2 linked regions of the Lonchura striata genome follow. The protein of the gene in region 2 purifies or fractionates together with the protein of the main gene of each other region. This does not show direct contact. Links are inferred from orthologs where the notes say so. Each region holds a gene or a part of one and is shown on either strand. Other genes may lie near its edges.

The links.
Region 1: the proteins of SLC12A2 (region 2) and CLGN purify together in Homo sapiens (co-immunoprecipitation; 3 studies listed by BioGRID and IntAct, with this or other methods). This does not show direct contact. The link is inferred for Lonchura striata from reciprocal best matches to the Homo sapiens genes SLC12A2 and CLGN.

The regions. Positions count from the first base shown.
Region 1 is NC_134606.1:65,816,866-65,820,772, reverse strand, and holds the start of CLGN (calmegin), read right to left. Parts: upstream 2,503-3,907; 5' UTR 2,346-2,502; intron 2,215-2,345; exon of another isoform or gene 2,131-2,214; intron 1-2,130. UniProt on the Homo sapiens protein: Functions during spermatogenesis as a chaperone for a range of client proteins that are important for sperm adhesion onto the egg zona pellucida and for subsequent penetration of the zona pellucida.
Region 2 is NC_134642.1:83,897,965-83,901,871, reverse strand, and holds the start of SLC12A2 (solute carrier family 12 member 2), read right to left. Parts: upstream 2,571-3,907; 5' UTR 2,422-2,570; coding exon 1,930-2,421; intron 1-1,929. UniProt on the Homo sapiens protein: Cation-chloride cotransporter which mediates the electroneutral transport of chloride, potassium and/or sodium ions across the membrane. Plays a vital role in the regulation of ionic balance and cell volume.

The sequences.
Region 1 (3,907 bases), on a different chromosome or scaffold from region 2:
TGTTCCTTAACCATCGTTATTAGGACAAGCACTCAAAGAATTCCACATCAATACCTTCTGGACTCCTTAGCTCCTAGCTAAACTGTCAAATATTAAACAAGTATCACACTTGCATTTTTAGCATATAGCTTGCCTACCTTACCTTTGCTAGTTTGTCATGCACATGGTTTCTGCTTCTCCTGAAGCAGAGCAAGAGGTACAACTTTCTCTTCCAGTACATTTCAGGTGTGTTTGTGTATGATTGACAATGCTTTTCACTTACGTAGCTGAAATTTTACTGTAATTACCCCCATTCACTTTTGTTCCATACACAGACTAACACAGGCATCCAAAAAGACACACTAGTACTCATCTTTGCAAACAGCTCCATTCCAAAATTTCTGATGCTGTCACATGGTTCCCACTGAATCTTATCACTACTCCCTGATCCTACCCAGGACTACCCTAAGTTCCTTCAGCTTTCAATTATATCTCTTACTTCTTCCTTCAAGAAGAGAGGGTGCATTTTAATTTTGACCTTTTAACATACTTCTAAAATAGTCCCAGAAATGCTGAAATGTTATCAAGACCAATTAAAGTTAACACTCAGCTGCCAGGCAAAGATGGTTTTAACCAGCCCGTGACATCTTTCACTTTTGTGAACTCTGCCACACTACAGTCTTAGAATATAAAATAAATCTTTCACCTAAACCAATGAGTTTATGGTCTCAAAACAGATCTTCACACTACACATTTAATTATCTTTAAAACCTACTGAACATTCCATAGTAACACATGAAGATCTACGAGAAACTTTTCTTACTCTATTTTCAAGATGGCAATGAAAATAAGTCAAAAGGATTCCCACTGTTACAATTTCCTCAGCAGAACAAAGCAAATTAGAAGAGTCTATGGCTCTCACAAAACACCAAACATATTTACTAGCAGTCTTGTCAATGCATCTAAGTTCAGACCTGTAATTTTAAACATACATTTTGCATAGCTTGGTCACTTTTTACCATGAGTAACCACAGCACAGCTACACATCAGCAGGTCATTTAAGCCAGCAGTAGTATTGCAGAGGATGCTCCAGGGACCAACAACAGTGCTGCAACATCAGCAGAATATTGCACCTAAAGTAACAAGCTGCTTCTTCTGAGACACAGACCAGTACTGATAAAAGACAACGGCATAAGCTGTAAACATAGTCTGACTGGATATTAGAATTTCTCTCCCCACACGGACAGGCAAGCAGCAGTACAGCCTGCCTAGTCTCAGTCCTTGGGCTTTTCCAAGACAGTATAGAAAAAAATCTCTAAGCAAGCTGGACCAGCCTCAGGGCTACCTCTGTTGCAAGCAGCAGGTCAGGGGAGAATTCGTGGTGTCAACAATTTGATTTGGGTTGCATAGTGCAACTGTGTCAACTTTTGTACTTCTGTACCAGGGTGTATCGTATACATGCCATTAAGTTAGCAGCATCATTATTCCATTCACTGAAGAACTTAGTTAAGAGGTCAGGATCTTTCAGATTACTGACCTTTTCTTGTACTTTGAAAACAGTCATGCCTTTTCCATGTAACTCTCAGAGTTCTGGATTCTCTAGCAGAAAGGGAGTAAGACAGCTATTCTCACTCCGAAGTCCAAAGCTCCTGCATCCAGTATCAATATACTGTCTTTTCACAGGACCAAATACCAATTTCATCCAGGGATGTGAAAAGCGGAGGATATTTCACACCCCCTTTCTTCCATCTGCAACCATGAGCTGCTTTATTCCCGCTCTCATTCTGCTACATTGGCATCAACTTGACATAACATCCAGCTGTAACTGGAAACGTTGTGTAACTGGAAATGCATGCAAGAATTCTTCCACGATTTTAATTTTTTCCTTTATTGGGTGTGAAAACTGTACCTCCCTCGCTTTACCTTTAGCGTTAAGCACCCTGCGCTGTAGTGGATGCCGAATGCCAAGTTCAGCAGTTCCTCCAGCCACAATGCTGCACTCCCGCAGGCGCCTCGAGATATTCTGCTGCTACAGGGAGCTCGACTAAAACCTTCAAGACCCTCTTTCCCAATCAAAAAATACAGATTTTAGGGACAAACGGCCACGCGGTGTCGTGTCAGCATGCGACTCGAACCTGCTTTTTGGGATACCTCGAAAGGAGAACCAAGGCCGCTGGAGCTCCGCCCGTCGTGCACCCGCGACTCCGCGCTTCTCCCGCCCGGCCTCGGGGAAGGGGCCGAGCTCCCGAGCCCTCCCGCATCCCACCCTCGGGACCAGCCGCCGTCGTGAGGCAAGGGCGAGCCGGGGCCGCCACCGCCCGCCGGGGCCATCGCCCCTCCCCTGGCCGCACGGGATGCACACGCACCTCCCGCGGGGCTGAGCGCCCGCCGCTTCTCCCGGCCCGGTTACCGAGCACGGCGACGCCGCTCCTCCCGCAACGGGCGGTTACCGGCGGTTACCGGCGGCGCTGTCGGGCCCGCGGCGGGCGGAGCCGGGCCCGGCCGCTCGCCCCGGCGCATCCCCGGCCGCGCACGCGCGCGGCGCCCCCGCCGCTCTCGGGAGTGCGGGAGCAGGTGCCGCGGCCCGCGCCGCGCCGCGCCGGCCAATCACGGCACGCACGGCACGGGCGAGCGGAGCGTGCGGGGAAGCGGGAGACGGGCAGCAAGCTCCGCCAATCGGAAGCGCCCGGATTGAGGCCGGACCAATGCGCGGCTGGATCGCGGCTGCCGGCCCGCCCTGCGCGGGGCGCCTCAGCCAATCGCCCGCCGCCATCGGCCGGCCCCGCCCCTCCGCCTTGGCGCCGCTGAGGGGGGTTTGTTGTTATGGCCGCGGGCCGCCGCCCGCCGCCCATCCCCGCCTGCCTCCAGCCAGGGAGCGGCCAGGATAAAGAGTTTTCCAACCCGTAACCTCGAGTTAATGAAACCCTTACTTACAGCTAGACGCTCACCCTGCCGCTTGAACGTACGTGCCGCGAAGCAGAGCGAAATAAAAACATTTTAAATGAGCTACTGTGAAAAACGCCAGTCACTTGTTGTTTATTATTTTTAAAAGTTTAATAATAATAAAATGGTTATAAAAATAGTAATACAGTTAGAGTAATAAAAATTTAGAGTTAGGGCAATTACAAGACAATAGAAAGCAAAGAATTACGGACGTCCGGATATTTTTGGATGCTAAGCTGCTCTGAAAAATGCATATTTTATGATTGGCTTTTCGCAAATGTTACAATGAATATTGTATGTGTAATGTTAGAAAGTTATGCTGTATTAATTCTCTTAAGTAGTGTGTTAAATATACTTTCAGCTTACAACATAATGTTAAAATAGAAACTCTGCGATGTAGGATTTTTTTACTAGCTCAAGGGATAAGATAATCAAGAAACTCTTCGCACAGAGATAACAGCAACAGGACAAAGAGTTACAGGCCCCTTATCAGAAAAGACAAACATTCTTCTACCTTCTCTCTGTCTTCATGGAACCACCAGGATTGAGGGGAAGGAGTTGACAAAAACCAGAAGTGCCCGAGAGCATCCGGACATCCGTAATTCTTTGCTTTTTATTGTCTTGTAATTGTCCTGACTACATTTTTATTACTCTAATTGTATTACTATCTTTATAACTATTTTATTATTATTAAACTTTTAATATTTTAAAAACCAAGTGACTGGTGTTTTTCACCGCTGCCAAAAACATGTCTTGTGAACAAAGGAATAGCCCTTAAAAGCAATAGCCTGTTGAATATTCATGTATCTCATACATGATGCATAAATTCCTTGTAAATTAAGAATTTTTCTGGTTTTTGTCAACTTGTTCCCCTTAATCCTGGTAGTTCCATAAAGATGGAGTGAAGGTGGAAGAATGTTTGTCTTTTCCAATAAGGAGGCTGTAATTATATGCCCTGTCACTGTTATCCCTGTGCGAATAATTT
Region 2 (3,907 bases):
ACTTAATACCAAATACAACTAAAATTCCATATTCCACCCCAATATTCACTTGATGGGAAGAGAGGCCCAAACAGAGAGGGCATGGCTTTAAAAAAAGAAGTATCTTCACATGTACATCTATCCACACTGCAGAATGAATTAATGACACTTAAGAAATTAATAACTTGTATTAATTAATACTCGCTATGAAACTGTTTTGATAATGATCCTGTAATTAGGTTGTCTACCACTCCTCTGTGCCACAGACTACAAAGAAAATTCCTTGCCATTAATTTCTTCTTAATAAAGAAATTGCAATTTTAGAAGCTGTAGGTCCAGAATATGCTATATTCTGCACTGAAATATTTTAATGGTATCAAAGAGCTTTCCACAGTGCTGCAACATTAACACACTGAAAAATCTATCTGCCAAGCTTAGAAATCTGAGAAACATTCTGCTTACAAAGCTGAGTATCCAACACACCTGGTCATCCTATCATGGACCAGGAATCAGAAATCTGGGGGAGCAGCAGGACAGAAGACCAATGTACTACGAGCACACATATATGTGTGTTATTTATAGTTTACCCAAGTCCAAACACATAGTATGAAATCTCAATTGGCAATTACTGCTATCTTAGAACCAGACCACAGATCATCATTTAGGCCATCAAAAAGGGACCTGGAAGGCAGGAGTAATTTGGAGTTATGGTTAGTAATTAAAATCTGTCATCTAATCTCAGATGTCACAAACAAGTATCTTTGTAATGCACCAACCAGCTCTTTCTACTGGAACAGTTCCACAGTCAGTGTCAAAAACACACTCAAAGAATCACCACCATTCCCCCAAAAAAACCCCAAACCTCACACATCAGTGCTGATGCACTGAGAAGCCTAATAATGGTGTGAAACAGGTAAATCTGGAAAGAATACACATTTCCTCAAGGAACTCCACCTATAAGCAGTGAAAAGTGTGATAAAAAAAAAAAAAGTTCTGGAAACAAAATATTCACTTCCTTGGAATGTGGCCCATGCATTTATTTCCCTAAACCCAGCAGAAAGACCTCACTTAAAAACACTGGCTCCTGAGCACAGCCATACACCAATTTTCAAACAGTGAGAAAACAGCATTGCAAGAGTTTAATCTTTATCTGGAGTTAGTTTAGTGACGATAGTTAAAGAAAAAAAAAAATAAGCCCGGGAAATTAATTCTACGTTCAGTTACAGCTGGTCTTCTAGCCAAGCCAGCCTGCAATGCAAAGAAGGCTCTCACTGTCAACTCGTCTCAAATAACACACGGACTCCTAGTCCAAAATAGAAAAAGCCTGAGACGCACAGCTCCGAAATTTTTCAAGCCTTGACCGCGGCACAGGAGCAGCCCTGGGAAGGCTGGCTCAGGATCTGTGCCTGTGCAGATCCAGCAGCATCCGATCCAGATCCCATCGGATCCAGCGGGCTCCACCTCGGAGCCGCAGAGACAAACCTCCGGCCGCTACCAAAGCAAGCGCATCCTTATTTATTTACTTCATTTTTTTAGCGTCTCTACCAAATGTGTTCACTCGCCTCCCCACACTAGTTCCCATGGCGAGCCCCCGAATCAATACGCTATCTGTTGGAGGCGATTTGGACGTGGAAAACCTGTAAGAGAATCCCAGCTCGGTGACAGGGAAAACAACCCTACGGAAAATACCTCTGGCACTGGGGGACCATCTCCCAAAAGCACGTGTTCGTGGGGGGATGGATTCCACTGCGTCAGGAAAAGACAAAAAAAAATAAATATGTAACAGAACTGAGACGCAAGCTATGCACCCGCGCTATATGCGCCTGCTCGAGGCTCGGCGAGCTTTCGTGTTTTGGGTTTGTTTTTTTTTTTTTTTTAAGCTTTTCTGCCGACGCGCTCCGAGGAGCTGCCGCACCCCCGGCGCCGGGGGAGCCCGGGAGCCGCTCTCACCTTGTCCAGCTCATCGTGCAGCTCGGCCAGGCTGGGCCGGAGCAGCTTCTCGCCCAGGTCGGCGGCCGTGTGCCGGTAGTGGTCGATGCGGGGCACGGCGTCCATGGTGTTGTGGCCGAAGGTGCGCAGGTAGTAGGTGTTGGTATGGGTGTCATAGTAGTAGTGGTGGTGCCCGCCCGAGTGCAGGCTGCCCTCGCTCATCACCGTGTCGCCGCCGTTCTGCACGTTGCCGCCCTCCGAGCTGCCTCCCCCGGGCTCGCCGGGGCTCTCGCCGCCGGCCGACGGGTCCACGAAGTTCACCCGAAACCTGCCCTTGGCTTCCTCGCCTCCCTTGCCCGCCGCGCCGATGTCCCCGCACGACTTGCGGGGCCCCTCGGCCACCAGGTCCACCTGGAAGCGGCTCTGGCTCGGCGTGGGACCCAGCGGCTTGCCCAGCGCATCCCTGGAGCCCTCATCCCCCGTGGACCCCGCCGCCAGCTCCTTGCCCTCCATGCCTTCCCCTCGCTCCGCGGCCGCCGCTGCTCCGAACGCCCCTCCCAGCCGGCGGCTCCGCTGCTTTAAGCGGCCGAGCGGCGCCCCGGGGCTGCCGCAGACACAGCGCCGCGCCCCGCCCCCGCCGCAGCGCCAGGTGACGGCGCCGCTGCTGCCTCCGGTCCCTCCGCCCGACCCCGCTCAGCCCAGGCGGGAGCGCGGCCGCTTGCTCGGCTGGCGCGGCGGCAGGGATGCGGCGGGGAAAAAACCGGCGGCGCCGCGCAGGCTCCGCCCGCTCCCGGCTGCGGCGGAGGGGGCGGCGGGAGCGCGTCCCCGGCCGGGCGGCGGCGGCTCCTCCCGCCCGCACTATGGCGGCCCCGCCGCATCCGCCCCGCGGCGGCGCTGGGAGGGGCGGGGGGCGCGCCGCGATCCCGCCCGGCACGGCCCCGCCGGCCGCCGCCACGTCTCGCGAGAGGAGCGGCGGGGCGCTCGGGGCCGCGCGGTGCCTCGCGGAGCCGGGACCCCTCGGCAGCCCCCGGGAGCCCTCGGGGTCCCTGGGGCACCCCCGGAGCTTCGCGCACAGCCCCGGAGCGCCCATACACACCCCGGAGCTTCGCGCAGAGCCCCGGAGCCCCTCACACAGCCCCGGAGCCCCTCACACAACCCCGGAGCTTCACACACAGCCCCGGAGCCCCTCACACAGCCCCGGAGCCCCTCACACACAGCCCCGGAGCTTCACACACAGCCCCGGAGCCCCTCACACAGCCCCGGAGCCCCTCACACAGCCCCGGAGCTTCACACACAGCCCCGGAGCTCCCATACCCACCCCGGTTCCCCTCACACAGCCCCGGAGCGCCCATACCCACCCCGGAGCCCCTCACACAGCCCCGGAGCCCCTCACACAGCCCCGGAGCTCCCATACCCATCCCGGGTCCCCTCACACAGCCCCGGAGCTCCTATACACACCCCTGGAGCCCCTCACACAGCCCCGGTTCCCCTCACACAGCCCCAGATCCCCTCACACAGCCCCGGAGCCCCTCACACAGCCCCGGAGCCCCTCACACAGCCCCGGAGCCCCTCACACAGCCCCGGAGCCCCTCACACAGCCCCGGAGCCCCTCACACAGCCCCGGAGCCCCTCACACAGCCCCGGAGCGCCCATGCCCACCCCGGAGCCCCTCACACAGCCCCGGAGCGCCCATACACAGCCCCGGAGCCCCTCACACAGCCCCGGAGCCCCTCACACAGCCCCGGAGCCCTTCACACAGCCCCGGAGCTCCTATACCCACCCCGGTTCCCCTCACACAGCCCCGGAGCCCCTCACACACCCCTGGAGCCCCTCACATAGCCCCGGTTCCCCTCACACACCCCTGGAGCCCCTCACACAGTCCCGGAGCGCCCATACCCATCCCGGTTCCCCTCACACGGCCCCGGAGCCCCTCACACAGCCCCGGAGCTCCCATACCCACCCCGGATCCCCTCACACACCCCTGGAGCCCCTCACGCAC